2 linked regions of the Caenorhabditis elegans genome follow. The protein of the gene in region 1 purifies or fractionates together with the protein of each later gene. This does not show direct contact. Each region holds a gene or a part of one and is shown on either strand. Other genes may lie near its edges. The genes, in order: wrt-9 and abts-3.

The links.
Region 2: the proteins of wrt-9 (region 1) and abts-3 fractionate together in Caenorhabditis elegans (co-fractionation; one large-scale study listed by BioGRID). This does not show direct contact.

What each region holds. Positions count from the first base shown.
Region 1 is NC_003284.9:1,567,562-1,583,796, forward strand, and holds the start of wrt-9 (WaRThog (hedgehog-like family)), read left to right. Parts: upstream 1-9,075; 5' UTR 9,076-9,076; coding exon 9,077-9,194; intron 9,195-9,792; coding exon 9,793-9,956; intron 9,957-16,235. Other genes in the region: H02F09.3 (VWFA domain-containing protein), read left to right, coding at 1,117-1,240, 1,293-1,402, 1,477-1,560, 1,612-1,697, 1,752-1,829, 1,896-2,083, 2,136-5,293; H02F09.2 (Peptidase_M10_C domain-containing protein), read left to right, coding at 5,659-5,715, 5,767-5,960, 6,008-6,085, 6,204-6,283, 6,331-6,449.
Region 2 is NC_003280.10:6,139,172-6,155,130, forward strand, and holds the start of abts-3 (Bicarbonate transporter-like transmembrane domain-containing protein), read left to right. Parts: upstream 1-7,959; 5' UTR 7,960-8,014; coding exon of another isoform or gene 8,015-8,567; 5' UTR 8,568-10,766; coding exon 10,767-11,571; intron 11,572-11,975; coding exon 11,976-12,085; intron 12,086-12,254; exon of another isoform or gene 12,255-12,322; intron 12,323-12,442; coding exon 12,443-12,495; exon of another isoform or gene 12,496-12,650; intron 12,651-13,469; coding exon 13,470-13,558; intron 13,559-13,926; coding exon 13,927-14,017; intron 14,018-14,352; coding exon 14,353-14,476; intron 14,477-14,617; coding exon 14,618-14,824; intron 14,825-14,869; coding exon 14,870-15,080; intron 15,081-15,124; coding exon 15,125-15,238; intron 15,239-15,286; coding exon 15,287-15,493; intron 15,494-15,763; coding exon 15,764-15,959.

The sequences.
Region 1 (16,235 bases):
ATGATACGTGCACAGCCAAAACAAATTCATAGGTTTACTGCTTCAGCTAAGATTGCCGGGACCCTATACCTCTCTAGAAGTGCTACACTAATAGAGAATGCCTCCTCTCTATAAACTTCCAGCTATTTTTCTTACCATACACTTTTCATTTTTATTTGTTTTATCACTTGCACCATTTTTATTATTTGTTTGCGTTATTTCCCTCGAAAATTGAAACATTTCAACGGGTTCAAAAATTTTGCTGCGTGTGTAGTTTTACGTGTGACTTTGACCTTTGTAGTTTTAATACACACTTTTTAAGCAAATTATTCGATTCAGGTTATAGTACTTAAAGGTGGAGTAGGGGTTATTTAACTCCAATTTCTGCTAATTTTAACACATTTATTTTTTGAAATATCAGAAACATACCGTTTCCCCCTTTTTCGGCGTGCAAATTTTGTTAGCTTTGCACTTCTGTCAAAAATAAGTCTAGACTGAAGTTTTAAAAATGACGTATAACTATTTTGAATCTAGTTATAATTAAGTGTTCATTTTCCCAGCTCCTCCTATACCCTCCCAGACAAAACCGGATCCAAAAAAATTGCAAACATTTTGTGAATCGTATTTTTTGTTCGTGATGCCTGGCTGTCTTTCGTAGCACGTCATTTTTTATCTCATTTCACACCCCAACTCCTTTTCAAGTATGGCGACGCCCAGTTTCTAATGGCTGTTTTACTATCAACCCTGCTATTATCACTGAGAACATCTTTATGGGTTGCCGGTGCACAGGGTTTCCAGTTGTTGCCGCCTCCAGCACATTGTTCTCATTCCAGAGGGTGGTGGCTCAGTTCAGTCACGGTTTTTTAAGGGGCACAGATGCCTTGTTTTTATGTGTTAGGCAGTTGGCTACCGTATAAAAAGGTCGCACGGCAGTTTCCATTAGTGTCTTTTTTTCAATTTTGTTATAGTTTGGTTTGCACTGACCAAAATATTTGCACTGACCAAAATAATAGCACTGACCAATTTTTTTTGATTTTCTTCTTTTTTCGTTAAACTTTTTTCTAAACTCTTCAATTCCTCTTGTTTTTCTTGTACGTGTTTTGCATTTATAATAATAAAAAAAAAGTAATTTCAGACATGAAGCTGAAATTCAAAATGCCACGTGGCATTTACCTTGTATTCATTTTGGCGGTGTCAGCCGCTTTGGTGGCCGGCCTGATTTTGACTATTGTGCTGGTTAGCAGGCCTAATAAAGCTGCACGTAAGCCTAAATGGAAAAAAAAGCCGTCATTTCGAATTTATTCAATTTTCAGCATTTGATGGTCGTGTCATTACAGTGAGCCTGTGCAATTCGAATTCAGAGCCGCAGATTTCAAGCTTGAGGTTTAAGAGAGATGCTAATACAGATTGTAGTTTTAATGCAGTGAGTTTGAATTGCATTGCTAAAAAATTTTAACATTCACCAAAAACTTGACACTCATCCAAAAAACTTTTCAGAACAAAAACCAACTTCGAAATTTTCTCACAAGCTCTGCAGAAGATGCAAATTTTATTCTGACTACCTACTCCGGTACCTCAACGGTAATTTCTCAAAAGTTATTGAAATTCACCTCAAATTTTTGAAAATTTCAGAAAACTGAACCACTTACAAAACAACTTGCATTGGATCAACTTGAAGCCATCAAGGCAGACGGCTCTTCAGCGGTGAAGCAGTCTTCGTGAGTTTTCTTTTTTTTCAGATTTTTCATAGTATCTGTAAAGTTGTGTTTTAGAGCTATTGAAAGTTACGACCCATCTGCATATAGTAACACGGATTTAGTTTTTTTCACGCCTTGTCAGACAAATTACGAGTGAGTTAATAATTTTTCAAATAAAAAAAAACTTAGTAAAAAAATTAAAATTAAAATTAATTTCAGCGGGATCGAAGATGATATTAAAAATGTTCAAACTGCCATCAACAAAGTTATTACAAAAACATTTGTGATTGTGTCACTATCACTGAATAGTACTGATATGAACAGTAGATATGGTGAAGCAGCGCATAATATTCCAACAACTCCGACAGAAGATATTTCGAATAAAATTAATAATATTCTGAATATCGGTAAGATTTTTTAACTAGATATATTTTTATTAAACTAAATCTTAAACTCCAGGAACAACTCAAACGCCACCGGTAACCACATCAACAATGGCTACAACGACTGCCAATGTAACTTCGGCAGCTCCAAACACTACTGTCACAATTTCTACATCTCCAACAACGGTTGTAACAGTTCCAAGTACAGCTCAAACAAGTTCTACTACAACAGTAACGGTACCTACTACGACAGTCACAGGCCCTACTACAGTAGTAACCGTTCCTACTACGGTGGTGACAATTCCAAGTACAGTAGTCACCAGCCCAATCACAACGCCATCTACGGTAGTAACAGTTCCTTCCACGGTTGTGACCGTCCCTTCTACCGCGGTGACAAAACCAAGTACAGTAGTCACAGCACCGTCTACTGTAGTGACAGTCCCTTCTACAGTGGTCACAAAACCAAATACAGTAGTCACAAGTTCACCGACGGTAGCGACGACTCCTACTACGGTAGTCACAACGCCATCCACAGTAGTAACAGTTCCGTCGACTGTAGTAACAGTTCCTACTACGGTGGTGACAAATCCAAGTACAGTAGTCACAGCGCCGTCCACAGTAGTAACCGTTCCTACTACGGTGATGACAAGTCGGTCTACAGTAATCACAACTCCAACGACTGGCGGATCAAGCCCATCTACTGCTGGAACAAGTTTAGCAAGCACCGCTGTAACAACGGAAACTTCTATCGGATCAAGCTCCACACCACTTCCCAGTCAGAGTACATCCCTGTCAATGAGTTCACTTTCAACATATACTCCATCCTCGAGCACCGCTGGAGCTACATCCCCTGCCACACAGCAATCAACTAAACCGACAATAGGAACAAGTATGAGCTCAGGACCTACAACAGTAGCACCTGGTGCTTCTACAGAGTCTACTGTGCTCCAATCATCTACTCCGTCTGGCACTACTGTGACTCTACCGTCCGGTTCTTCCACCGCGACAGCTGGAACTTCACCTCAAGCATCAACCGTGACTACCGTAACAGATATTTCTACAGTCAGTGGCTCTACAGTTACCTCCCAAACTGCAGAATCGTCTTTGAGCACGGAATCTCCAACATCCGCTGGCTCATCCATTTCGACAGTCAGTACAGTATCTTCTCAGCCATCAACGTACATCCCGGTATCATCAGCATCTTCCATTTACTCTACTTTGAGCGGAAGCACGGGATCTACAGCAAGTCCTGGAACAACAGAAAGCTCAGGATCGTCTACCAGTGGACCATCAACCATATCTGGATCGTCAGCCTCCACCGTCACAGGTTCCACGGTCACGGAGGCATCAACAATCAGTGGCTCAACGGAATCATCAACTATACCTGGAAGCACGGAATCAACCGTTTCCGAGGCGTCAACTGTGTCTGGTTCGTCGGTATCAACAGTCAGTGGAAGTACGGAATCAACATCAGCTGGAGCGTCAACAGTCTCTGGTAGCACGGGATCGACCGTAAGTGACTCATCAACAATCAGTGATTCGACAGGATCCACAAATGCTCCTGGAAGCACGGAATCAACTGTTACTGGATCATCAGTATCAACTGTCAGTGGTAGCACAGGATCAACTGGGCCTTCGACAATGAGCGCGTCGACAGGATCCACAAACACTCCTGGAAGCACTGAATCCACCATAACAGATGGATCAACTGTCAGTGGCAGCACTGGGTCAACCGGTTCCACAAATAATCCTGGAAGCACAGATTCCTCCACCACTGGTATTTCAACAGTATCTGGATCTTCTCTATCGACAATCAGTGGCAGCACTGGATCAACGGTCTCTGGATCTTCAGATATGACGGTCTCCACCGGATCCACAAGTTCTCCAGGTAGTACAGAATCAACGGTATCTGGAGCGTCAACAATGAGCCCGTCCACTGGATCCAGCGTGGAGACATCTACATCAGGCTCATCAGTGTCAACGGTTAGTCAGAGCACAAGTTCAAGTACTACCGGACAATCGACCGTGTCAGAGTCCTCAGTATCCACTGTTAGCTCAGAATCAACAATCAGTCAGAGCACTGGATCAACCACTACTGGCGAGTCCACGGTATTTGGCAGCACCGGATCAACGGCTACTGGATCATCAACGATGAGTGCTTCCACAGGATCCACTGATACCCCTGGCAGCACTGAATCAACCATCACGGGATCGACCGTCACTGGAGAATCAACCGTGTCTGGGTCGACGGGATCAACCATCACAGAAGGATCAACAATTTCTGAATCTACGATGACTACTGTCGGTGTAAGTACGGGATCAACCATCACCGGAGAATCTACCGTGTCAGGGTCGACGAGATCGACCGTTACCGGAGAATCCACGGTATCTGGATCAACGGAGTCTACTGTCAGTGGGAGCACAGAATCAACCCCCACTGTACCGTCAACCGTGTCAGGGTCGACGGGATCAACTGTTACTGGAGAATCAACCGTGTCTGGATCAACGGCATCTACTTCCAGTGGAAGTACTGGATCAAGCACAGAAGCAGGATCGACCGTCTCCGGTTCATCAGCATCAACTGTAACTAGTAGCACTGGATCAAGCACTAGTGGAGAATCTACGGTGTCAGGATCGACCGTATCTACTGTCAGCGGAAGTACGGGATCCACCATCACTGGAGAATCAACCGTTTCTGGCTCGACAGAATCTACCGTTACTGCGGAATCTACAGTTTCAGGATCATCCGTGTCAACTGTGAGTGGCAACACAGGATCAACCATCACTGGAGAATCAACCGTATCTGGGTCGACGGGATCGACTGGAGAATCCACAATTTTAGAATCATCCGTCTCAACTGTAAGTGTCAGCACAGGATCTACCATAACAGATGGATCAACTGCATCTAGATCTTCAGTATCAACCGTCAGTGCTAGCACAGAATCGACGGTTTCCGGGGGATCCAGCGCCTCGATAGGATCGACAAACACCCCTGATAGCACGGAATCCACAATTTCTGGATCAACGATCAGTGGCAGCACTGGATCAACGGAGTCATCAACAATGAGCGCAGGAACAGGCAGCACTGAAACTTCAACATCAGGAGGATCAACAGTGTCAGGATCATCTCTATCCACGTCTAGCACAGAATCATCGGGGTCATCATCCACACAACCACCATCAACAAGTACAGAGTTAACAGGCGCGAACAATAAATTTGGACATTCCATATAAATCTTTATCGATTCTGAAAGACTGACTTTCAAAATATTGTTTTTTTTCAGGATCGTCAGTGCCAACAACTTCCATAACAAGTTAGTTGCCAGCAAAACTTTGGACTAGAAACTCATAACAATGTGTCACTATTCGAGATTTAATGTCATTTTTTACAGGACGAGGGCTCCTGATAATTTATTGAAATAAATAATGTTACAAACTTTTTTCTCGTCTCGGAACATCACGTGTAGAATCATTCGATTTTCTCTAACAATTGATGAACCGTAGAATAGATATTAACTAGTCAGCTTTAGTCCAGCTAAAAATTTAGAATTTATAGTCTCAGAGCCTCAGTTTCAGAACCTACCGTAACCTGCCTTTTCATGTATGACACACAATCTTCTGATATCAGTCAAGAAGCTCTCACTACATATCAAACGGTAGGCATATTGAATTTTCGGAAAAAAAACTGGTAAACGTCTAATTTTCAGTACTACAATTTTGTCAGACTGATTTCGTCCAAATTAAATGACCGATCAATTTTGAGCGGAAATTTTGATCATTTTGGATACGGTCCCGGAGGCGAAGATCATGAAACTTATCAAATTGATGACTATGCAAATATGAACAGCATACCATTTCCGTTACATGCATCTGACACTGACATTGATCTTGATTTGAAAGAGTGAGCTAATAGGTTTTATAAATTGAAATGTTTATTTTTATGTTTAGTGTGGATGGGAGCATGGCTAGTGCAGGATGGTCATCAACTGTCAATGGTGAAACCTGCATGATTTTTATTTCTGCCGCGTGAGTTTTTTTTAAATTTTACAGAACGTCCTTTTTGTAAATTTAGTTCAAAGAAATTGTAATTTCAAATTTTTTAATAAGAAATTATGTTCCGATAATGATATAATTATTTTTCCAGGACAGGAACTGCCTACGATGGTACTACAATTAAGCCAACATATAATAATTTCAAAACAGTGATAGGCGTATTAGTTGGAGGTACTTGAACTATAGAAAAATATCACCTAGTAGATTTACAATTTCAGGAGCCACAAGCATTCCAGGACTGACTACAGGTACAAATGTGGTCACAGCAGATTCACTGAATGATTCCGATGCTGAAAATGTTGTGAACACGTTGCTGGGACTTCTTCTATCTTTGTAGATGTTAAATTATACCTATATTATACAACCTGTACATGATATGTATCGATAACAGAGCTTTTTGTTTTATAGATAAACATTGAATTGAAATGTGAAAAATGAATCTACGAAGAAATTTAAAGGTGAAGTAGCGCCAGTGGGGATTTTTTCTAAATACACGTATAATTTTCCAAAACGACCGAATATCATAAACATAATAAATAATAAAACACTCCAAAAAAGTTTTAGATTTTTTATAATTTCCGGTCAAAGTTTTTGGCAATTTGCCAGAAATTTGAAAAATATGAGTTTTTGAGGGCAAAAACTGAGTAAATGTCACTTTTTGACAGTAAATAAAAAATTTACTTTTTTTGAAAAGTTTTATTATGGTCTGTATTAGGTATTTCCTTGGCTTGTATTACCTTGGCACCATATGAGTAGTTTTTAACAGTTTTCCAACTAGCGCTATTCCACCTTTCACGTGGTGTCAGAGTGTCTCATTTCGGCTCGAACTACGTTGATCTACAAAAAATGTGGAAGTTGAGACACAGAGTTTCAACACAGAGTTCTCAACTGATTTGCATGGCTAAGAACGTGCTGACGTGACAAATGTTTGGGCAGAAAAATCTCGCATTTTTTGTAGATCAAACAGTAGTGATACAGCCTGGCCTTTAACAAATTGATTTCTAAAAGATGAAACGATAAATTTTTTAGCCTACCTTATTTTGGGTTTCAAAAATTTTTTTACGAGGTTTGGATCATCTTTCTTATTAACTTCTGGACTTGTGATTTTTTTTTTAATATTTGGAACGTTTCACTGCAAATTACATATTCCTAATATTCAAAATGTCAAAATTTGGAAGTACAGAGTATTATAATTTGTATTTTTTAGAAAATATCCTTGTTCAAGCATTTGCACCAGGGCTGTGCGGCAACCAGCAATTGCCGAAGTTGCCGAACCCAAAAAATTTCGGCAACCGACAACTTTTGATTGCCGAAACTTCGTCAACTTTTCGGCAACCGGCAACCTGTAACAGCCCTGTTCTGCACCATAATTTGTTTATTTTCAAAAAATTCTATTTTTGCTACTAAACCTACTCCAATTCCAATCCCCCTTCTCCCTCTCCAGTCCCCCAAATCTTCAACAAACGGAATCAGAAGCCCAAACGAGGAAGATAGTGAAAGATAGGAAAAGATACAAGGGGGTGGTGATAAACAGGAAGGTTGCAAGCTTGTTATTAGTCGCAATGCCTTTTTCTCTCATCCATATCCATACCAACAGTCCAAATGCTTGTCCCCCCTCCCCACGTCCCTCCTGCTTCATCATCTCCTTCTTCCCGAAACAGTAGCAGCAGCAGCAGCCTGTCTCTTTTTCTTTTCCTTTCCCCATCCCCCGCCTCCCCCATTTCCAACACAACCGTCGTCATCAAGATTAAGCCCTGTACGCTCCGCCCACTTTTGCATTCTTCTCCCAATTTTCGGCTTCTCTCTTCTTTCCCACAATGGAGCTAATTTTTTTGCGGCTTTTTTGAAATGTTTATAGTTTTCTCTTTATATTTTTGTTCCGGCTTTTTTTGCTACAAAAACAAACTAACAATATAATAATTACTTCAGCATGAATTCCATTTCTTGTTTCATCTAATCCTTTGCTTATGTATACTCAAATAATTCAGTTAAAAAGTTTGAGCATCTTTTAAACTTTTTAATTTTCTGGCATTTTTGGTATCTCGATTGAAAAGCTTGAACACCTGTTGTCTAAGCCTGAAACTTAATTTTCAAGTTAAAGAGTAAAGCTTGAAATGTAAATTTTGTGTAAGCCTAAAGCCCATGCTTGCAGCTGAAACTCGAAAAATCAAACTAAGCAGCAAACGTTTGAGACTAGAACACAGAATTCAAAACTACCGTTTGAGCTGAATTTCTAGGCCTGTACAACGGTCAATTATATAATTATATAGTTCAAATTTCAGACAACAACAAAAATTGAGAATTAGATAAGCCTAAGCCTGAAAATAACCTCAAATCTTAGCCTAAGCCTCAGCCTAAGCCTTAGCCAAAGCCTAAACCTAAGCCTGAGTCTGTTCCGATGCCTAAGCTTAAGCCTAAGCCTAAACCTTCATCTAAGTCAAAGCCTAAGCATAAGCCTACGTCTAAGCTGAAGCCGAAGCCTAAGCCTAAACCTAACTGAGTTTAAGCCAAAACCTCAGCCTAAGTCTAGGCCTAAGACTAAAAATAAGCCTAAGTCTGAGTTAAAGCCTGAGCGAAGACTAAACATAAGCCTAAGCCGCAGCATCAGCCTAATCAAAATCCTAAGCCTAAGCTTAAAACTCAGCGTAAGCCTGAGCCTAAGCCTAGCTCCAAAACGAGCTCCAACCTTCAGTTTGTCCTTTTTTGGCTAAACTGTAACCTTTAAGCAGGTGTTTAGCAAATTCTAAAATTCTTGTCCAAACCAAGTTCTGTCCAACAACCAAAGATTTCTTCAATTTTTTTTCTCTGCAAATTTTCACCAAAAAAAGTGTCATCAATTCATATTTCCATTCCATGTCTAGCCACAGCTAATTTTCTTGTCTCACCTCTGTCCACCGCTCTATTATTCATTATTTCCGTTGCACCCCCCCCCCCCCTTCCAAAAAAAACATTAGAAGTTGCAGAATGCGCCATCGAGCGTTCTCGTTCCAAATCGCCCTCGTTCTCGCCCTCCTGCAACCCTTTGGTGCCTCGTACTGTGGTTCAAATGGCGTGCCGTACAGTTTAGAAATCCTGTCTGATGGTTTGTGTTTGCTTTGACAAATAGAAGGTGTTACCATTCATAAAATGCTTTACGACTTATTTGATCTTGAAGAAAATTGGTTTTTTATCCAAAAATAAATTTTGCAACCCTCCACTTTAACTACAAATTCAAAAAAAAAAGTTTCTCAGATATTTTTCCAAAAATCTAAAATACGAGCTAAGTACAGAGGAGTTTTTTCAAAAAATGTTTTTTAAAGATTTCCCACTAATTTTTATTAAGGCAGGAATTAATAACTTTGTAAATTCCTGGAAAACAATTTTTTTTTTTTTTGGTGCTTCCAATCCTCAAACTTAAGGATTCAATTTTTAAGATTCTAATTTTTTTTTGAAATTTTAGGCAGAAAATTATCGATTTTTAATTTTCGTATTATGAATTTCTAATTCAATGTTGTTTGTTATAATTTTTACAGGAATTTTCTAAATTTTCTTCGAATAAAATTTAGTCCAAAAATTTTTATAAATAGATTTTTTTATTGGAAAAAATTTCGAACGATTTATGTTATTCCCAAAATTTCTAGTTTTTTCCAAACCCTATACAAACCATAAAATCTAGTATTATAACCAATTTTCCATTCCAGGCTCCCCGGTACTCGGATGCGCGCAGCCGACTTGTATGGCCGAGCCGCAGGAGGACGAGGAGGACAGCGTGTTCATTGCCAATACAGCTGGACAGGAAGATGGATTTTTCCGTGAAGGTGATAGGCAGAAGAAGAGCTATACGCAGAGTTATAAGCCTAAAGCGGTGAGTTTCTGAGGGAAAAATTTTGAAGAAAAAACAATTTTTTTTCGAAATTTTTTTCGAATTTTTTTCTACAAATTTATTTTCTAGATCAATTATCAACTGAATTTTAATGTTCTCAACGTATTTTTCCATATATTTTTTTCAATTCCTCCATCTCCAATTCCTCATTCCAAAACCCGTTATCCACAATCTAAATCCCCCAAACACAAATATTTCGCAATTTTTTCGCCGAAAATTTTCGCGCAAGCTATACGGTGATGGTATCTGCATAATTAATAGGGAAAAACAAAATATTTTTATTATTATTTTGAGATATTTTTGGAAGATAATTCTATGCGCAGGTGGTTTTTTGAAATGTATTATGTGTGTAATTTAAGACGGAGATCACTTGGTTGACTGGGGTTTTTTGAAAATTCGTAAAACTTGCTGGACTGTTTTGTAACCAACAAAATTATGAATAAATCAAAAAAAAACTGAATTTTTTTTTAAAGTTTTTGGTGCCATTTGCATTATTCCAGCTAGAATTTTTTTGAAAATTTAAATCGTAAAATAATTTCAAACTTTTCCAATTTTACAGAACTTTATTTTTTTTTAGAAAATTTATCAAAATTTGCCAATTTTTTCAGTTATGGAAAATGAACATAAAAACTCAAAAAATAATTTTTTTTCCAACTTCGCAAAACTTTTTAGACTTAGTTTTTTATCTAGCTAGTCTTATAGAAATGTTTAGAAAAGTTTTTATCAAAATTTTTATTTTTATCAATTTTTATCATTTTATGATTAAATATTTTTATCAAAAAATCTGAAAAAAAAATGTTAAAGGTTTTTTTCTAAAAATCTGACAAAAAACCAATAGACAATTTTTCTCTCCAATCAAATTTTTTTCGAAAAAAAAATTATAAAAATAGTGAAAAACTTTAACCATATTTTTCTAAATATCAATTTGTTTTTTGAAAATTAGTGTTCCAATTCCAATGACATCACCAAAAAACCCGTTCAAACTCCACACAATCGTTCTCATTATCCATGACCCTTCGGTCTAGATTTCTCCTGTTAAAAAATACAGTTTTCTATATCTCTTTCCTTTTTTACGCCAACTTTCCCCTCTCAAAACCGTTCGACCCTTCCCCCCCCCCCCCTCACCTACACATATACCCCTTAACCCCGTCTGCCAGCCCGTGGGAAACTTGGTACGTCTCTGTATTGGTGTGGGAAGAATATGGCCCCCGGCCGATTGAAGCTAATGAGACAGTTGGTTGTCGTGTTTTTATTACAAGTGTTTTCACTCTCTCTCTCTCTCTCCCCACACCGCCAACCAGTGTGTCTCTCCGCAACCGCCACGTTCCCTTTTACTCGACACGCGCGAGGGACAAAAGGGGGAAGGAATATGGGAGAGAGAGAGAGAGAAGACAATAAGGAAAAGTCTTTTGCGGATAACTGGTGGAAAAGAAAAGCTATCTTGATTAGCTGGCAACATGATGGGGAAGAGATACTTGAAGAATCAATACTAACGGAAATTGAGTAGTTGGTTCTCTGCGGGGCCAGGTGACCTCTGAAATAATTTATGTGGCTCCTCGATCTTCATAGAAAAGCCCTTATGCTTACTCAAGTGTTTCTGGTGAATTATAAGATAAATCGAGTTATAAAGTTTGGGTTATGCTGACTAGGGAACCGTCAGAAGGTGCCCATCGGACTTGCATATGAGATCTATGCCATTCGATAGTGCATGTCTTAAAACGGTTACTCGTGAATGTTTAGTGGCAAAACTCCAGAACCAAGCTCACGGCGGGCTCTCAAAAATTCTAAAATAGCACTTAAACGAAACATTGAAGGGCCAATTTTCCAATTTCACTTTGGTGGCTCATATCTCCGCGGATAATTTTTTTACAGGAAAGTCATCAACTAAAAAGTTGTTGATATTGTTGTATTGAACGAGTTTGTAATTGAAAGTTTTTTACCAAAAAATTTCTGTTTCAGATAAACGCGCGTGAAGTGCGGCAACTGTTGCTGTTATTTTTATGCTGTTATTGCTATTCTAATGCTTTTATCTCAAACAAAAAATTTTTTGGTAAAAAACTTTCAACTACAAACTTGTTCTTTACAACAATGTCAATTATTCGCGGAGATGTGATCTACCAAAGTGAATTTGGAAAATAACCTTCTGACGGTTCCCTAGTGAGAAAAACCATGTCGCAAATTTTAGTTAGTTTTCAGATTTTCTATTATTTCCAAAAACTCACAAGAGCACCCCGTTATTTTCTAAGATCATAACCATATGCTTGATCGATGCACCATGTTGCAAAATGTATGTGTAACTAGAATCCAATTCAGTATAGTACATTATAAGATCAGTGGAGTCTATAGATTACCCTGAGTAAATGAATACAATCAGAAATCAATTTGTAACTTGATCGATGCACCATGTTCAAAATTTAGTTGGATATAGTTCATAGTAGTTTGATAAGTTTTTGATGCGCATATTCGGGACGACCTAGTCTGAGAAATATTCCACAATTCCAGAAAATTCGGTAACTCTTTGACTGTGACGCTAAGCTCAGATTTTGAGCTCAGAGCAGAAACTTCAAAATTTTCAAAGTGCGGCCAGCTTGCTCCAATAGCTCACATAAATCGTCGCAACTTCTCATGGTGCACAGGGTTTAGGCCACTGTCAAGCTGACCACTCGGAGCTAGGCCTGTCATACAGGTCGACACCACGTGGCCCCTAATTCACATTCTATGTACAAGGAAAACAAGTCTATATCTTAGTTACCGCGAGAGATCGGAGCCCGGGAGTCACCACTTATCAGGCCCACTTGGAGCCCTGAATCAGAACTCAAATTACCCTGGTAATTCTTACATAAATCTGGAGCCAGAGAGCTTGGCTCAATCATACCTAAAACTCTAGTCAGACTTTTTTTTTCCAAAAAAGTAAAAAATGACACATCTATCCCGATTTCTTCGCCTGCTAACTAACTAATCTAGCGGAACGCTTGCAAATGTTTAATCCCGAAACCGCTTAGTTGGAGACAATTTTTTATGGGCGTGACACAAAACCGATTATCCTCTCGCCTTTTTTTTTGGCTGGCTAGCTGGATGGCTACAATCAAATGATCAAACACCGTGAAACGAGATTGAGTGTCAAGAAAGAGAGGAAAAAATGGGGGGAGACATTTTTTTAGGCAAACGTTTGAAAAAGTTTCTGAAATATGCAGTCACCCTTGATGTTAATGCACCATGTGAAAATTCATGAGACTTGAGATCTACTGTCTTATGAATTTTTGATTTTTCTTCACGCCCTCATACACTATACCAAATTATACCAAACTATACCAAATACACATATACCAAATTATCTGGAATTGTGGAATTTTACTCAAACTAGGCCGACCAGATTATGTAACATGGTGCATCGGTGGCCTTAAACTGAGAAACAACACCTATGGTGTACTTGATGTTTACCCGAACTAGATCCTACTGAACTTCGAACATGGTGCATCGATCAAGGCAAGGATCGATTTTTGATATATTATATTTTACTAGCTCAGGGTAATCTCTAGACTCTACTGATCTTATAATGTACTATAATGAATTGGATTCTAGCTGCACATGCATTTTGCAACTAGGTGCATCGACCAAACATATGGTTATGATCTTAGAAACTACGGGGTATTCTTGTGAGTTTTTGGAAATAATGGAAAATTTGAAATCTAACATAAATTTGCGGCATGGTTTTTCTCAACATAACCAAAACTTTCGAGAAGTTTGTAGTAGGTCATCCCAACTGTTCCGTTGAAATACTCATTGAATTCTTAAAGGTGGAGTAGCGCCAGTGGGGAAATTGTTAAAAACCACTCCTTCGGTCTCAAAATGACCAAATATCATGATAAAACTTTTCAAAAAATTTTTGATAATTTTTTATTTACTGTCAAAAAGTGGCAATTACTCAGTTTTTGCCACTCATAATATTGGAAGTCGACCAAAAAAAAAAGTTTTTTTCGACATTTTTTATGTTTTAATTTTGTTTAAATTATGTGTATTAAAACATGGTAGGGGTCGAAACATGCGGCATTTCTTTAAATTTCCTCAAAAGCTCGTATTTTTCAGAATTTTGGCAATTTGCCAAAACTTTGACCAGAAATTATGAAAAATTAGAAAAATTTTTGGAGTGTTTTTTGGAGTGTTTTGTGATATTCGGTTGTTTTGGATCATCATAAGTGCATTTAGACAAAATCCCCACTTGCGCTACTCCACCTTTAACATGGTGCATCGATGGGGGCACATTTCGACTTTTGTTCTGTAATGTTCATGTATACAATTTCTCGTATAATTTGGAATTTACTTATATTAGATCTATATGTTCTGTAAAACTTTTCCACTACAACCACCAATTTCCCAAACATTCTCAAAACTTCATTTCCTCCCACCACTTGCCACATCGAATTCCCATTTTCCCTTCATCTGCCCTTGCACTTGTAGCATCCCAGAATCCTGCAATCATCTCCGACAACAAATCGAACGAATTCCCGTCACGCAATTCAATCTTCATATTAATCCCCCCTTTTAAGCTGAAGTAAATTGGATTCGATGATGGATGAAAAAAACTGCGCAATTTGTACCAAAGTTCGACTCGGAGTAGTAGGAAAATGTTGCCAAAATGGTAGTAGACATTTCTAATTGCTTGCTTCCGCCCGCCTTGTCATTCACCTTCCGTGACGTGAATATTACGATGTGAGGAAAAAGTTGACAGGCCGGCGGGGGCAGGAAGTAGATAGAACACGTATTGTTGTCAGAAGAAGCCGTTGGCGAGGAGGTAGATATGGATATGGAGAGGGGGACACGGCGGATATTCTTGTTCTTTACGTAATCCGTGATGACTCATTGTTCACACTTACTACATAATACAAACGGGTTACTCAGCATAATGGTTAATAAGGAACCACAAACGTTAAAAGTTGTACAGGGGGAAAAGTAAGGGGTTCAGCGATGTACCCCAAAATTTGCTATAAGTTTGAAAATTTACATTGATTTTTTGTTTATTCAGGGTTACTAAAATTCAGCCTTAATATAAATATAGTTCAAAAACTGTTTTAAAAATGTTAGGCAGGATAGCGCAGTCGGTAGTGGTGGCCGTTACCAATCTGGAGGTCACGAGTTCAAGTCCGGCCTCATTCCTAGGTCCACCCAGCCTCTATTGGAAAGTGGAGCAATCCACGACTGAATTATCGGCCACAGTCCCCGGCTAGGATGTGGCTTAAATCATAGCCCAGTGGGAGCACCACCAGGCAGTGTACCTGACTCTCAGATCCGCAGTGCATAGCACTTGAAGAACGGATCTTCCTCCAATCCTTTTAAAAAAGTTTTTTGAGGCTATAAATTCCGAAGTTTGAGCGAAATTTATAGGATAGTCTTGAAAAAAGGTACCTACAAAAGTGAGATCAGCTCAATTTTATAGTAAGTTTTATATGAAAATGTCTGAAAATATACAGTTTTTCCCTGCTTTGAAAGTGGCTACAACTAGATTTTCCAGCCAAAAAGTAATTTGTGATCCCCTTGTTCCAATGCAAAACACTCAATTTATTTTGCCCTGAACTTTAACAGTTGACAGTTTTTGACAAAACCGAGTATAGTAGGCCTATGTAGGCTATGTAGGCTAAGTAGGCCCTAGTAGGCATCAAAATTTCCGCATGCCTTCCTTGTGCCTACGTGCCTTTAGGATATACCAATATCTTCAATTAAAAATGAACAATCCAGTTTTTCCAGAAGAACTGACTCCCGGTGAAATCCCAACCAAAAAAACTTCAAAAACAATTTTACTGTCTCCCCTCATCCCCCCTCGCTCTCTTTCACTTAACTTTCCATTCACAACAACAGAAAAAAAGTAAATGGGGGTCTAAAATGACACCTTCAGACTAATTACCTCGTAGTTTCACAGCAGGTAATATGGAAAGTATACCAAAAGAGGGGTGGAGGGGGCACTTGAAAGATCGGATTTTTTGTTCGAGGACCGGTCAAGTAGAGGAAATGAGGGGGAAATGAGGTATATTTTGGGTTTTTTGCCTGCCGGGGAGTTTTGGTGCTGGAAAAGCTTGTTCTGAATTTGTAGATTTAGAATCATTTTTTATAAAAGATTATTGTAGTGAAACGTTACAAATATTGTAACACGGTAAAACTACTGTAGTGGTACTGTAGAACTATTGAACGGGTGCCTTAGGGTTACTGACATGGTGCTGTCGGAGTAAAATAGTGGTTCAGCAAAAATTGCTCTACTGATACTGTAGG
Region 2 (15,959 bases), on another chromosome or scaffold:
GAAAATTAATCCACCGTAATCCTTCATCTATTTTACAGCCACCCATTATGCATTTGAGTATAACTTATGTTTCTCCTTCACTTAATTCCTTCTTTTTCATTCGTCATCTTTCATTTTCTTTCATTCTTGATGAACTTGTGCATGGCACAGTAGCTTTGTGTGTATGTGTGTGCTTCTTTTTTTCCGTGTCCCAACTCACACATACATATAGACGCATCCCCCTCATACACATATATACACTAATAACCTGGAAAAACTCACTCTTCGAGCTCTTCGAGCTCTTCCATCGTCTTTCGGTAGGCTTCTTAGGACCACTCGAGAATTTGTGTTTGTATGTGTGTGTGTGTGTGCAAGTTGCCCTGAGGCGACAACAAATTTCACGTTTGCCTCCACCCATTCACTTTTCAACACTGACAAAACCGCGAAGAGATTTTTGACCAAAAAATGGAGAAGCTCAGTGAGAATCACACAGTTCATTTCTCATCATTATTCGATTGTCTCACAACCGAGACACGGGTAATTCAATATTCAGTGTGTGACCCTTTTCGAAATGCGGTTTTTTCTCTTTTTTGTTTCCTTAGATTCAGTCTTCCAGCTCTTCCCCTGCTTTTAAGATTAGATTCAATTTTGGTGCATATTTTAAAAATCTCGCCCTTCCTCACCCCATTCGTCAGCCAGTAAAGTCCATTTTGAATTCAAAACCGAAAGCCGAAAGATATCTAGAAAAATGCTAGAATCATCTGAACAAAATGACGTGGTATCGAAAGCTAGATTAATTGACTTTTTGAAGAAAAAAGATTGAAATCTTTACTTTTGCAGTAGCAAGCCGAAAATCTTTGACTTAATTTATGACATTTTTGATAACGCAGAAAAGATGTTAGGAGAAATCTAACTATTTCGGATATGCCAGTAAAATTTTTCATATATTGGGTCATTTTTCGAGCCGCCCTTGTTGAGTTTTATGCAAGTTCTAGTTAGAAATATTTAAACGGAATTTTTAAACTCGTAGGCGGTCTGTTTTAATAGTAGCAACAGTTTTTACTGAATTGAAGCTTTTCCTATTCTGAAAACTCGGCGTCTTTTAAACATTTGTTTTAATTTGCTGAACTTCAATTATTTAACTGAAATTAACATTTCCAGTTTTAAATGACACAACTTTTGACCCACGTGACCTGCCACCTTCATTTGCAACTTCATTCTGCATGACCGAGCCATTTTTTGTTCGCGATGGCAAAGGATAAAGCACTCCATTTTCACTTTTGAATTAGAACCAACTTGTTAAATAATTGATTCCAGTCGACTCTAGGTGAACCCAGTTTTGCGCAAAAACCGAAAATTTCGATGTTTCAACAAAAAACCGATGATTTTTGTGTTGTTTTCCTATTATTTCTTCCATTGTCGTTTTTTCAGTCTTCACTCATTCCTCTTCTTCTCCCTCTACTTATTCTAAATCCTTTCCTTCATCGTGCTCTTCACTATTTTTCTCCGTTTGCCATTGTACGCAAAGCAGCGCCCGTAAGAAGCACGAAAAGCGGAAAAAATGAGCAAAGAAAAAGCACGGCGGTGAACAGGAAAGCTGCGATGGAAAAATGCAAATTTTTTCCGACGACGTCGCTGACAACACTACCAATATTTTCAGAATTTCGTGTATTTTAAGAAAAATGAAAATTGAGTTTAACATAAGTTGAAAACTCCAACAATTCTTCAACTCAAAGTTGAGTTCTAATCCGATATTCCATTTTAAGTATGATCCTCGTTTTTTTATGACTTTTATTTTCTTCGGAATGTCATGTTCCCGGCTCTGATGAGAATTAGACATATACTTTCTCCTTCCACATCCCTCACAAAAAGAGAACAAAAAAGCGAAGAAAAAGAAAGAATTAAATTAATTTTCGCGCGCATTTTATAGTCGGTATTATATCTCCTGTAGAAGTCTTGTGAAAATGAGAAGATGGCAAAAAGAGGCAGTAAAATTCCGGGGAAGCAGCAAAAATAAATATCAAATTAGCGAGCCCGGACCACTATTTTCCTATTTTTCTATTAGTTCTAGCCTTAATTGAGAAACCCATTCGACGCTGGGTATTGCCAGCATTGATCCGGAATTTCTTAAAATACTGATTATTTTTGTACTTTACTGAGTTTTGAGCTATTTTCAGAACAATTATTTGTTAGAGTACAAGTTACCAGTTTTAGAGTTATCTGAAACACCAAAGTACTAGCCAATGAAAATATTAAATGAAAATTTAATTGATCGGGAGGTTCAAAAGTGCACAATTGTTGGATGGCTCAAATGTGTTTCATCGGCATGTGATGATGATGATGAGTTAGCCGTAGAGAGGTGGTGGTTTCATTTTGGACGGGTACAAGTTTTCGAGAATTTTTCTTTTTCTTTCTTTTCCTCTCTCATTCTTTTCACACGTCATTTTATTTTATTGCGGCGGCGGCTCACACTTCGAGCCCTCAAGCTCCTGGGATCTGTCTCATTCATCGAATTTTAATTGTTGGGCAATAGTACTCGTTGGATGTTGTTTTTCCTGTCTCTGCAATGTTTCAAGCATTTGAACTTTTTTGCCTTTGATTCAGCACGTATTCATTCCTCGGTGCTCTTCTTCGGAAATATGACACCGTGATGGGAATCGGAGCGGCCGGAATCCCCCCGACACTTTCACGTTTTGTTTCATTCATCTTCTCCATCCTTAGATAAAAAAACATCAAGATGTAACAGATTTTGTGTTGATCATTTGATACCTAGAATTTACCAAAAAAAAAAGAGTCAAGATTCGAGTATCATAAATTTGGAAATTGTTTAAAACATCCTCCAAAGCGCTAAAATTTCGAAATATCAAAGTAAAACTATTCAGCAATTTTTTGAAATTTGTTTTAAATAATACAGTCGACAAGTGAACGAAAACCCAATTTTGACTTATTACAAGTTCTGAATCTCACTGAAACTATAATATGCTTTCAATCTGATATTAATAAATGCCAAAAAAAAGTGATTCTCATCTGAGGTTATTGAAGTTCCTGAATCTACTTCTATTTAAAAAAGCAAGACTGAACTTCTGATCTGATTGCTGACGGGGCAATCTAAATTTCTGACAAGTAACTTGCCCACACGGAACATGTTGAATAATCTCTCCCGATCGGAAAATCATTGTCTGTTCCGCTTACATCATTTAGAAGAATCTGTCATTCCGAATCAGCAGTAATATATGTTTCCATTAAGTTCTCAATGCAAGGCTCATTGAGCTTCTCTACTTCCTCTCTCTCTTATAGATTCTTCTCCTATCTCTACACCTGTTCATGTGTCCCCATTCATTTCTTCCTCAGATTCTCGTTCAATCACTTTCTTCTCTTTCAATCTACCTACCAATTCGCAGTCCATCAGTTCGTCTCCCCCCTTTTGATGTACTTTGGCCACGAGTAATTTACCAAATTTTCCATGGGTCCGAAGTTAGCAACAATGTCGTAGTTGTATGCTGGTCGCCCTCCTTGCCAATTCAATTGGGAGGCTACGAAAGCTCTGAATCTGAGAATGAAGAAAACGACGAGCGAATAGAAGAAACCCGTTTTTCCTTTTTTATGTCCATCCACAACCTCCTGACTTTTTGTAGACAGCGACAAAAAATCTTTTGAAACGGGAAAGAAAGGTTAGGTTTCTTTCGAAATATTAAATCGGCGCTTTTAACTCCATCAACTTTTTTTCTCTATGTCACTTACTCTCTCACATCATCCTCTGTGTTTCAGAGCCACTCACACTATTTGACAGCCAATTAGTTTTCAAACGATTGATTGTTTCAATATATCTGTTTTTTGTGATGAACTGAAGCTTTGAGCTAGAAAATCAGGTTCGCTAGGATCAAGACATCTGGACAAAAAAGACGGGTGATAATTAGAAAATGTTAGTGTTTGTTGAAGGAATTTGAGAGATACTGGCGGTCCCGAACGACATGTGTTCGCACTTTTTATTTTCTTTTCTCTGTGACCTGCTTTCTTAGTTTTTGAATTTTAAATATGAGCTCGTATACTTTAATTCCTTCTGTTTTTTTTTTCAACCGTACCATCTTTAATTATGTTAAAAATTAAACCTGTATTATACTGCTCGTAGAGCTGGCGAAGCCAAACATTTTTGTAATAATACCGCACACTGTCAGCTCATGAAATATTTTCCAAAAACATTTAATACTTGGTTAGCGAGAGGATACGATTAGATCAGGTTCCAAAACGAGTCAAAACCAACATCTTCGTCCAAACTGAAATCTTCTTTCAGTCAAGAAAAGTTGCACATCTAGAGCAGTTGAACACCGAGTTTTTGATAAAGTGCACGTCACACTACGAATATTCTCTCCCTTAGACGTTCGCCTGTACCTTGTCGGATTCGTCACATGAGTAGAACATGTCGAATTCCACATCTCACTCTCTTTTCTTTTCTATATTCGACAGCTTCTCCCTCAGGGACACATCGGACACTTCTGATGAATTTCGCCTCCGCCGAGCCGACATATGAGCACATATTTCGTTGAAGGAGCCCTACACTTCATTTCGACTTTCTTTTTACCCCGGAAACCAAGTTTTTGATTTTTTTGGTTCTTTTTTTTGCAAAATGATGTATGTGTCCCCACTGTTTCCTAGCTAATTTGCTTTGGAGCGGTTTTTGAACTTTTTCCTTTTGGTGTACTTCAAGAAGTCCATTGGAATAGAAGAGCTAGGGGCGTTTTTTTCAATTGAGAACCATAAATCTAAGGAAATAAAATGCGGTTTAGAATTTGAGAATACGAATAAAATTCAGAAGATCAGTCCCTCATATTACCTTTACTAACTCAGTTAACATGTGCCTCCCTCTCCTCCGCCGGCTCGTAACCCGTCAATCAGTTTCATTTGACAAGAAGGCATCTGAAAAATAATAAAAAACCGAAGATGTTGGCTTGCGATGGAGAAGAAGTTCAAGTAGGGGATGTAAATGTGATGCTTTCTGACTGAGACTCTACTGATGAGTCGACATCTTCCGACCGGTCTTCTTGAAGAGAGAGGCCGCTTCGCACATACATCCAATTATTTGCAACAAGGTCTTCTTCGTCTTCTCCGGTCGACTAGTGTATATGTGTGTGAGCAAGAATCCGCTTCACCCACGCAACTTGCTCGAAGAGCATCCCTATATCCGCAACTTGTTTCAACGCCGTTACCTCGTCTTTTCCGTTCCATCAGTCGCCGCATTTTTTCTTCTCTCATCACACTGTTTCGATTTTCATTCACTCTGCAAATGTAAATATTCAGGCGCGGGACATCCCACCGCCGTTTCTTCTATCTCATGTGTGTGCTCTTTATTCTGTTTCTCTATTCTGCCGCCCCGTTTTCACGCATTTTCTTCTTCTTTTACGCTTTCCATCCTTCTCATCCACGCTGAAATCTCCGTTTTCCTCCTCCCGTTTTCTTCGTTGGCTCATTCTATTTGCTAGATTAGTCACAGGTCGTTCGAGACCAACATCCATTCAGATTCTGGTTTTAGATCTTTGTTCTTTAAAAAGTACTAGTTGGACCCCGTACTGTTCTAGATGCTACAATTTTCTGAACGTTACTTGGCAAAATGTCAAATTCCAAGAGGATAGAGACTAATTTGAAAATCACTGACTTTGATAAAAATATAAAATTTGGTTACCGTATTTTTCCTATCATTTGCACCCCAACAGCTCTACTTCAACAGCTTACATCTCGATTGCATTTGGCTTTAGAATTTTTTTTTTCAATTATGTATAAAAATATAGAGATATACATATTTTAAACGCATTTTTAGTGTTGTAAATGTTTTGATAAGAGCAAAGCCAACCGAATAGTGAGCGCTCAAATTAGAGCCAAGGGGTTGCAAGATTAAAGAAAAAAAATTTATCTGAAGAATCTGGAAAATCCTAGTAGTCCTTTTGTTTCCTGGTTAAAAACGTTATTGGGTTCTCCAAATTTCCCATTGCAAGCAAAATATTCTAGTTTAAAATCTATGGGCTTGCAAATTCAATTTATGCTCCAACCTAATAATAGTCATCTAGTTGCTATTCCTTTCGATGATCCATCAGATCCATTTTCTGAAAAAGAAAACAAGCAGCATTGTACTAACAAATAGAGAAGTCTCTCTTCTCTTATTTCTTATGTGGAGCAGCTACCTCATAACTTTTTCAAGAGAAAACACGTGTGTCTACCAGTTTGTTTCATACTATTTTTTTTCTATTGTTCTTATCCTTCACAGGCATCCTCTCTAAAAGAACGGCTTTATGCAAAAGCACAGAAGAAGAAAAACGAAGAATAAGCATAAGAGGAAAAGAAATAACAATCTGTTTTCTAAGCGCTCGTCCGTATTTTTTGTGCTGTTTGCCACCCTCGCCTCCCACCACAAGATCCCATCCGTATGCCCGATGTTCGTTCTTTCGTTTTCCGCTTCCATTTTTAAATCTTATTTTGGTAGTATGTGTGTTTGTATGAGAACACTGGATTTCAAAAAAAAAACGGCGCCACAGGGTGGCTGAATGCCTTTTGAAAGGGACTCAGCTGCCATCGAAAACGAACTCAGTTTGACGGAGGACTCTCCGAGATTTAGGAGCAGCTCTTGCACTTCTTCCAATTTCGAGATAAGCCCTTTTGCGGCGGCATTGAACCAGCAAAAAAGGAAATGGAGTTATCTTCAGAATCCATTTTTCTCTGATTTGCCAAGATCAATTTCCTTTTTGTTGGTTTTTTTTGCAGAAAACTGCAAAAAAAAAATGCACGGTGAGCTGTGAAATTAAACCAGAAGCTCTATGTTAGGTTGGAGACAGCATACGAATCTTCCATCAAATGTTGAAGCTTAGAATTTTGGTTTTAAACACCTTTCACCAGTCTCACTAAAAAGTTGCATAGATTTCAATTAAATTATCTTTCAAAATTTTTTTCGGAAAACCAAAAAAAAAATATTTTGTTCAAACCAATGAGACAATTGTTTGAAGTTGTGACTCTGACATATATGTAAATCTACATCGATATAATTTAATTTAATGATTTTTTTTAATTTATAAAATTACAGTTAAAAAAGTGAAATTTTCAGTTGCTACCTAAAAATCGGAAGTTGAAAAAAAATTATTTTTTCCATGATTTTTGTGTATATGTTGTTCGAGCTTGCGACATTGTTCCAAATTTATTGAAAATCCTAAATTTTTTCGATAATCTTGATATCCCCTATTTCTAAAAATTTCCGAGTTCACTTGAAACAGCAATCCTCTTTGACCTCCGATCTCATTGTCATCACATCCACCACACATCCTGCTCTCAGTTTTCTTGACCTCTAATCAATATCTTCAGATCATTTTTCTATTCTCTTTTTCTTTTCCTCTATCTATCTGTTATCTTTATCTTCAACTCTATCATTTGTAAAACGAGTCGGCTCATTCATCACTTCAAAGTAACTTTGCACCACCGTTCTACCCATTTCCATTATCTACGAGTTGTCCCAGTTATTTCATCCATATCTAGTAAACGGAAGCTCACATTGTGTATGTTTTGTGCTCTTTTTCTGCGATGCCGCCACCCGCGCTGGGAAGATATTGCTTTCTATTGCTTGCTTCTTGCATCCACCCTCACATTTATAATTGCTCCGCCTCCTCTATTCTCCACCCTCGTTTGCTCTTTAGGCTTTCCAAGCAAAAAAATGTGGAGAAGCAAAAGCGGAAATGGGAGTGTGGAACTACAGTATGAACTTCAAATACCAAGATTATGTAAACGTGATCTGATGATTTAGTCGGAACGAGATAGCTCTATTCAATTATCTTCTTATTTTCTTATTTTAGATTTGAATTGAGAATCAAGAATACAATTTGCATTTAGAGTGATTCACATCCCAATTTGAATAATCTCTTTATTCTGATTTATTATAAATTCCTTGTCTTCTTCTTTTCTTCAAATACTTCCTTCTACATATCTTCTCATGATTACTGTAACTTCAGACGCATATCTAAACTGTTCATGACTATGACTCAACAGTAGATCATCAGAAGTCATGACAACACCGGATTCGGATAGCAACGCCGATCCATTTGGTGGCTCAGATCCTCCTTCAGCACCACTCACATTCCGTGCCCCGCCTGTCTCAAACTGTGCTAAATCAATAATCGACCGGAAGTTGAGAAAATATGCATCCGAAACATCGTTTGCAACTGAAACCGCTAGTGAATCAAGTCTCGAACGAGAAGTTCCAAGTAGATCAAGAGTTTTCACAGTAAAACCAGTTGGAACAAGAACACCTGGTGGTATTGTCTTAACGAATGGTGCAAGTAATAGTAATAGTACAAATAACGGCGGAGTTCATCGGAGCAGAAGAAGACACGATTCGGATGCAAGTGGATCAGCTAATTCAGAAGCCACCGTAGCTTCTGGAGCCAATACACCAAGAAGATGTCATTTTAGAAGACCAAAATCAACAAGTGAAATGCATCAATCGTGTACTTCTGCAACAATTCATTCACTGGAAAGTCATCACAATGAGGAACGGAGAGCTAGTCACGTTTATATGATTGATGATGATTCTGTTCATGAATTTGAAGATGATGACGGTAAGTAAAGGTTTTGATGATCTACCAGGCTTTCAGTAAAACTTCAAACTGGAGTTTAAATGTCTGTTGGCTCTAAACTATAGCTATAGTAAGAGATGAATTTATTGAATACAAATTTCATTGTTTCTATTAAAACGGTTCTTATATTAAAAATCGATTTCAATATTGTTGTAATTAACTCTGTTAGTAAACTGCTTGATATTTAGAATATGCAATTCTTCATCATTATTGACGCGTACTTTTAAAGAATCCACTAGACTTAAAGTGATATACTTTGCTGCTAAATAAAAGTTGAGACTAACGATCTAGAATTAAGATCTTAATGATATTTTGATCCATTTTCATTCTTCTGGCACCTATTAAATGTCAACTCTCCGCAGGTTAACCACAAATACATTGTCCAAAAATGCATGCCTTTTTCATTGCAATCTAAAATTGTTCACGGGGGACCCAAGCAGTCAACCAACCTGCTTTTTCATCCTCTTCCTTCCTCTTTCTTCTATTATCTGCAGTGTTTTTATTTATTTCGTGGCGTCCGTCGTGTCCACGTATTTTTTCTTTGAAAACATGCTTGGCACCTAAGCTCCGCGGTTCCACAATGGTTCAGCGATTCACTTCTTGTGCTCATGACACTTTCATGAGATATGAGTGAAAAAGAAAGAAAGAAAGATATTCACTGTTCAGTAAAAACACAGAGGAAACAGAAAGAAAAAGGAGAAGAAGTTAAAAAAAAAGAGAGTAAGAAGAGAAGAAGCTCGTGTCATCGCAAATTGAATTTCGGCTCAAGAAACGCTGTGAAGACGTCGCCGCGGCATGGAGGCGCACAATTCAGATGACATGATGAGTTGTAGTATGGAGACATAATTTGCGTTCACTTCAACTTATGGAAACTGATGCTTCATTCTTTTTTCTTGAAGATGTGACACGAAATAGAGAAAGGAGAAGATCCTACAGCAACAAAAAAGCGAGAAGATTCGGTAATCAAATTGGCTCGTCGGACAGATTGTGCCCCGCGGGGGATGCGGCTCTTTGAACTCTTGAGATGACATCCTATTTCTTTTTCGGAAAAAAATTGAGAAGATTATTCATAGGAATTCTATTTCTGACGAAAATACGGATTGATATTGGATTGAAAAAGATTTAAATTGGAAAATAGAGGTCTAGTGTGTAAATGTGTTGACAAATTCTCTTATCCTATCTCGGAATTTGTCTGTAACTTCTAACTGAAATTTCATCTTGGAAAATAATATTTACAAAACTTTGCTGATTTTTCTGAAATGTCTCATCCGAGCCCTGAAGTTTGATAAATATAGATCTAAGTTTAACACTAAAGAGAGAAAATTAGGACAAATCTTCAGTAAAAATTCGCAAACTCTTGCATACACTTGATCCAATATTTCCTCAAATATCAATCCTAGAGTCTTCACTTTAATCTAATAATTTAACCGAAATGTCAAATGAAATGATCTCGGGTCGAAAAAATCGAATGTTCCAGCATCATTGTTCTCACAATTTCTACGTAATACTACAGTAGTCTCTTCGTTGAATTAAAATTGTGTCAAAAATAAGATTCAAAGAATTGAGCCACTTTGCACCAATGACTTCATTTTTCTATTCTTGCAAAAAACAACGAGTGATTCAACATCTAGTTATTATTAGAACACATCATTTTTCTTATATCCGAGCACTTCAATATCCACTTATCCCCCGTAAAAAACTTGTTCAGCATGTTCGGCTGTGCTCTTCTTTTTGTACTTCCGTGCACACTTCCTTCTGAAAAAGAGTAATCATCAAAGGCTAAAAATGCGCACGACGGCGGATCGTCTCTGAATAAAAAAGGAAACGAGAAAGGAAAGAAGAAGCAGTCCCGAAATCCGATTCATCAATCCCATAATATGCGGCGCCGGCGGTTCTTCTCCCCCTTCGTTTTTCCTTCTTCTTCTTGTCGTCAACGACTCTACTGAGTAGTGAATGGAATGGGCATGAAGTAAAAAAGGGGCAGGCTGAAGAAAAAAGAGAGCGCTGAGAGAGAATCTAAAAGTGGTTTGTGCTGCTGCTGCTTCTGCTGCTCGTGAAGCTCCCTAGCTCCGCCCCAAAAGGGAAGCAGTGCCCCCTAGGCCAGTCCATCGTGGACGGCTCCTTGACGTAGTCCAATATTCTCAATTTCTTCATTAATATTATTATTATTATTACTTACTAATGAATGTCACCAATGTGAAGGTGTTCGTTTCGAATGGAAGTGTTCGAAAAGGATCAGACGTCGACTCGTACCGCACACCACTCGATTTTGCCAGCTGCAGTTCGGGCATTTCAGAAGAATACCCTCTGCTTCTGAAAAATGGTGACGATGGAATCAGTCAGGGAGGTATTTATATTAAGAAACCAGATCCCAGGCAACGAGTGATGGCTAGAAGAACATCACATACTCTTTTGTATGTTCCTGAACAACGACGAATATCAAATGTTTCTGGAAACTCGGTTGCATCTTGCCCACCCGGTACAGTACAAACTTCTGGTGAGGAAGATGACAAAGTACCCCCTGCTCCATCATTTTCTCTTCATCTTAGTCCAGTTGGTACAAGAAGAAAATCTGTTCAAACGGGAGCACCTGCCATTGGGTTTCGTCCATTGAAAACATTTGAACGACGTGCGAGTCAGCCTACACTACAGTTTGAGGCTAAAAAAGCAACAATGAACAGTGGTACAAGTTCAGGTGGAACCGCAGGAGGAACAGTCAATTTAATTAATACAGCTCAATCGACAACTATTTCTCTACCTCCTGATAAAGCTAAAATGCTAACAAAAAGAGTATCCTGGTTATCAATGAAGTCGTTGCAACAAGAGGATCCAAAGACTCGAAGATCAAGTGCATGTGGCTCACCACGTGGTGGATCTCCAAGTCGAACTCTTTCCCAATATGGCTCCCAACCATTTTTAGCAGAAGATCGTGATTTTGACAGTGATACTCCGCCATTGGATACTCTCAGTTGGAGTAATGCTGGAAGTATGTGTGTTTTTGTTTTAGTTAACATGTTTTTATAGGAATATTTTTCTTTCAATGTTTCTCTCTTTAGCTTCAATGCTATTTTGTTTTGTTTTGTTGCGCTTAAAAAACTCATACAATTTTATTGGGTTGCATAGACAAAAAGGGGACAAACTACTGGACCCTCCCACCCCGGCAAGGGGTCCACTTCGCTTCCTACATAAAAAGTTTGGGGTCTGCGACTGCGGTTTCTCTGCAGCAATGTTAAAGAAAAAGGAAGCCGGCGCTTTAAAGAAGACCAATTTCGGCTGATTGAAGAGACCAGATGAGGCCGAAGCGTTGGAAGGGTGAAAAATAAGTGTTTATAATGTATCTGAAATCAGAAATATTAAGAAAAACACTCAATTAATTGTTCCGTGTTGCAGATGAATATGACAATGTGACCTTGATGTACGCAAAACATGAAAAGATTCCGATGAAAGATTTTGGATCCGAGATCAGAGCAACAATGGACATTGATCATCTGTTGAATAAAGTGAGCTTGAAAAAGTTTTGAATAAGCAGCTGAAATGTTTATGATGAATTTTATAATCTAGAGAGACCGGAAATTCTTTTTTCTTTTGACTCATTAGTTACAACAAAGGGCACCCAATTTTTGGTCGTTGTCTCCCACAATGGGCTTCTAAATATGGCTTTTGAGAAGTTAAAAGTTATGTTTAAAGTACCTATCCTTTGGGAATAGATCACTTTTAACGTGACAGCTGTAATTTTTAAATTTGAATATTCTGGATAAATCCCGTTCTTTGAAACCCAAAAACTGAAATTCTTAAAGAATAAATAAATCTATGAAAACATCTATATGTGCATTAGAAAAAGCAATTTATTTTTTCAGGCGGTTCTTCTACTCGATCTTCAGGAGACGAGTCTCGAAGAGATTTTTGCCAAGTGAGTATTATTGTGTTCAGAAGCTTTTAAATAAGCTTCAGAAAGGCTTGTTCATCATCATAAGGATAAGTCTGAGTTTGATGGGCAAACGAAATAAAAGAGTGGGATAGAATATGAAAATGGGAGTTGGATGCCAACAGCTTCCCTTTTTTTTCTCTAACAGAGTTTGTGTTGGTTTTTTGATGAATAATTAATGGAGAAGAAAAATGATCGAGTGGAGGAGGAGGGGATAGGCCCTTTCTCATATGTCTAGCGAAAAGAGCAACTTCTGACGATGATTTTTGAGTTGACGGGATACAGATCTTTTGTATTTGGAATATTTGATAATTTTAGAAGTAATGAGTATCGTTGATTTTTTCAAATGGGATTTTTACTAATAAAACAATATTTTAATTTTCCAGAATTTTGAAGTCAAAAATTAACTGATATACTTTCATAGCGATTAATTCATAGTGCCTACTAATATTAATTCATAGTGCCTACTGTGATAATTTTGTGATAACCGTACTCTTGAGTTTAGTTTTGATTTTGCATGAGTAAAATGTTTGTGGTTTTTTTAGACAGTGTTCTTCAAAAAAATTTATTTGAGAAATCCAACAAAGCTACAACGATGTTTGATTTATTATCCACAATAAAATTTGACAATCCGTCCGAAAAATAAATTATTTGTAGACGTCGCCAGAATCAGCTTCAAATTTAAATTTAGAATCCATTCAGAAGTCTGAAACTAGAGCTGAAAAAATGCAAGTGAACAAAAGGATTATCAATTATTTTTTCTTGTGTTCTTTCTCCCCTCTCTTTTCTAACTTGTTGTTGTTTTGAGAGGAAGGAAGTGTGCGCTTTTCTGGAGACGACAATGATGATGATGATCGTCGTTTTCTTGAGAAGTCAAAAAAAGAAACAAAAATGGGGGAATCTTGGGACCAAAACAACCAAAAACGAATAACTTGAAGAAATGATTTGTATCTTTTCAGAATCATTCATGAAATGGATATTCAAGAACCAGAATTTACAAGTGAACAAGTGAGAAGTGTACTTTTCACACAAGACGCTGGAAATCAGTGTAAGTGGGATTGAATGGAGCTTGGGAAAACATGCAAACAAGCAGATTATTCGGCGAAAAAAAATGTTGAATACATTTGCACAAATTTCATCAAAAAGTATAAGTACACAAGTACAACAATTATTATTTTAGAAATGAATTCCATACTCCAAAATTATGTACAAAACTGACCAATTCTAGAGTATAGAAAACATACTTTATATTTTCAGTACAAAACACCTGAAACCGGGAATGTGAACGTAAATTCCCTAATTGTCCTGATAATATGATTTTTCAACTTTTAATTTTATTATTTTCACGATGGCCACAAACAATTTTTAGATATCAAAGAAACATTAGTTGATGATCCTTAATTTAATAATTTTCAGTTCATATTCTGTCTCGAACAGTTCAATCAATATGTACCACTGGATCAGTTGGCGGAAGTTTCGATTACGATCAAACGTGGATTTGTGCATTGTGAGTCTGTTTTTGGTCTCAATTTCCCTTTTTGTTGGCCAAAGTAATTTGCATTCAATTAATACCAGATTCACTTTGTTTTTCTCCTCACAGAATAAGAGGAAGTTTTCTCGGGCTCAAATTGATGAAAGAGAGGGAAGACCCTCCGGTTTTCTCTTTTTTTACATCACAGGTTTTTTTTCTCTCTCTTCACTTTCCCCTTTAAATTCGATTTTGCAATGCATTAGCAATCAGAGCAGACAGAGAAGGAAAAATGAAGGAAATGGAAACAAAATTTTTAAGGGAACATTTTAGGAACCGCAATTTGATTGATGTGAGAAAACAAATATTTTCAGATGTATGCTAAACACTGTTCAACATCGTCATGTTGCTATTGCTCGTCTCTCTCATCCAACAAATTTGGGTAGAACTATGCAAGATCTTCGATTTATCATTATTGTGATTGCACCAAGCAGGGCGGTAAGTTTTGAAACTTTAGAGCTCGAAATGTAGATCATTTGAAAAAAACCTAACATGAATATCAAAAATTCCGTTTAAAGTCTAACAACTTTTTTATTATGATAATGTTATTTTACTCATTTAAAAAGTTCTATTTTCCAGAAAGGAACAAAAACTGCACTGGAAACGACACGAACCTTTGCCACACTTTTTGCTGACATGGAGATCCGTCAACGATTGGTGATGGCACAAAGTGTTGAACAGTTTAGATCAACTCTTCTATCAGCAGCAAAAGAATTGGCAATGGATCAGAATCAATGGAGGGAACGGAAATCATCGATTCATTTGAGTCATGCAAAAGAGCAGATTGTTAGCAATTTCAACATTTACCCTATTTGCAAATTTAAATTTCAGTTTGGCCCAGAAGCTTGGTATCCATTTCGAGGACTGGTTGAAGAGTTCAAGCGACGTCTCGCAATATATCCATCAGATTATCTTGATGGTATTCGTGGACATAAAACAGTCCAAAAATTGTTCTCTACTGTGGTTTTCTTGTATTTTGCGTGTCTTTTACCTGCAATTGCATTCGGTGTGCTCAATGATGATAATACAAAAGGAGCTATTAGTAAGTTTTTGCTGAAATAATCCCACGGAAAATATTATTTTCAGATGTAAGAAAAGTGATAATTGCTCAAGCAATCGGTGGAATCTTCTTTTCTCTTTTCGGTGGTCAACCAATGATTATACTATTAACAACAGTGCCTTTAGCAATTTATATAAAAGGTGAGATTTACAAATTCATATTAAAAGTAACAATTCTGTTATTTTAAGTGATATTCAAAATATCTCAAGAACTTGGTTATGACTTTCTGGCAATGTACGCGTGTGTCGGGCTGTTTTGTCAAATGTTTTTGATACTTTACTCGGCGACCGAGCTGTGCAGTTTAATGAAATTCGCAACAAGGTCTGCCGAGGAAATGTTTTCACTCTTCATAGCTATCGCATTCACGGTCGAATCTATACGGGCAATACACAACAGTGAGTCTTTTTTACAATGCATAAATTTAACTTTTTACTTTGTCTGAATTTTTCTTTATTTTCCCTATTCGAATTGCGTTCATACAATTTTCAATTAGTCATTTTGAGAGCATTTTTGGCAAAAAATGATCGGCTCCAGTTTTTTCCCGAAAATTTCATATTGAAAATTTTTTAATTTTTCAAAGTATTAAGTATTCGATTTTTAAAAATTAAAGCTTTGAAATCCTATTCATTACTTTAGACACCAAATTTCAAGATTAAATATTCCAGGTTTCAAAAAGAACTACAACGATTGTGACACATCGGCCATATCAATGAAAGCAGCTAGGACAGCACTAAACGCCTTCAAAAACGGTTCGAACGCAGACAGTATTGTAGGAAATATCACAAGCAGTATGAGCATCGGAGATACGGGAAGTCTCTGTCGAAGAGACACATCAATTCTCTATATGCTTCTCATGTTTGG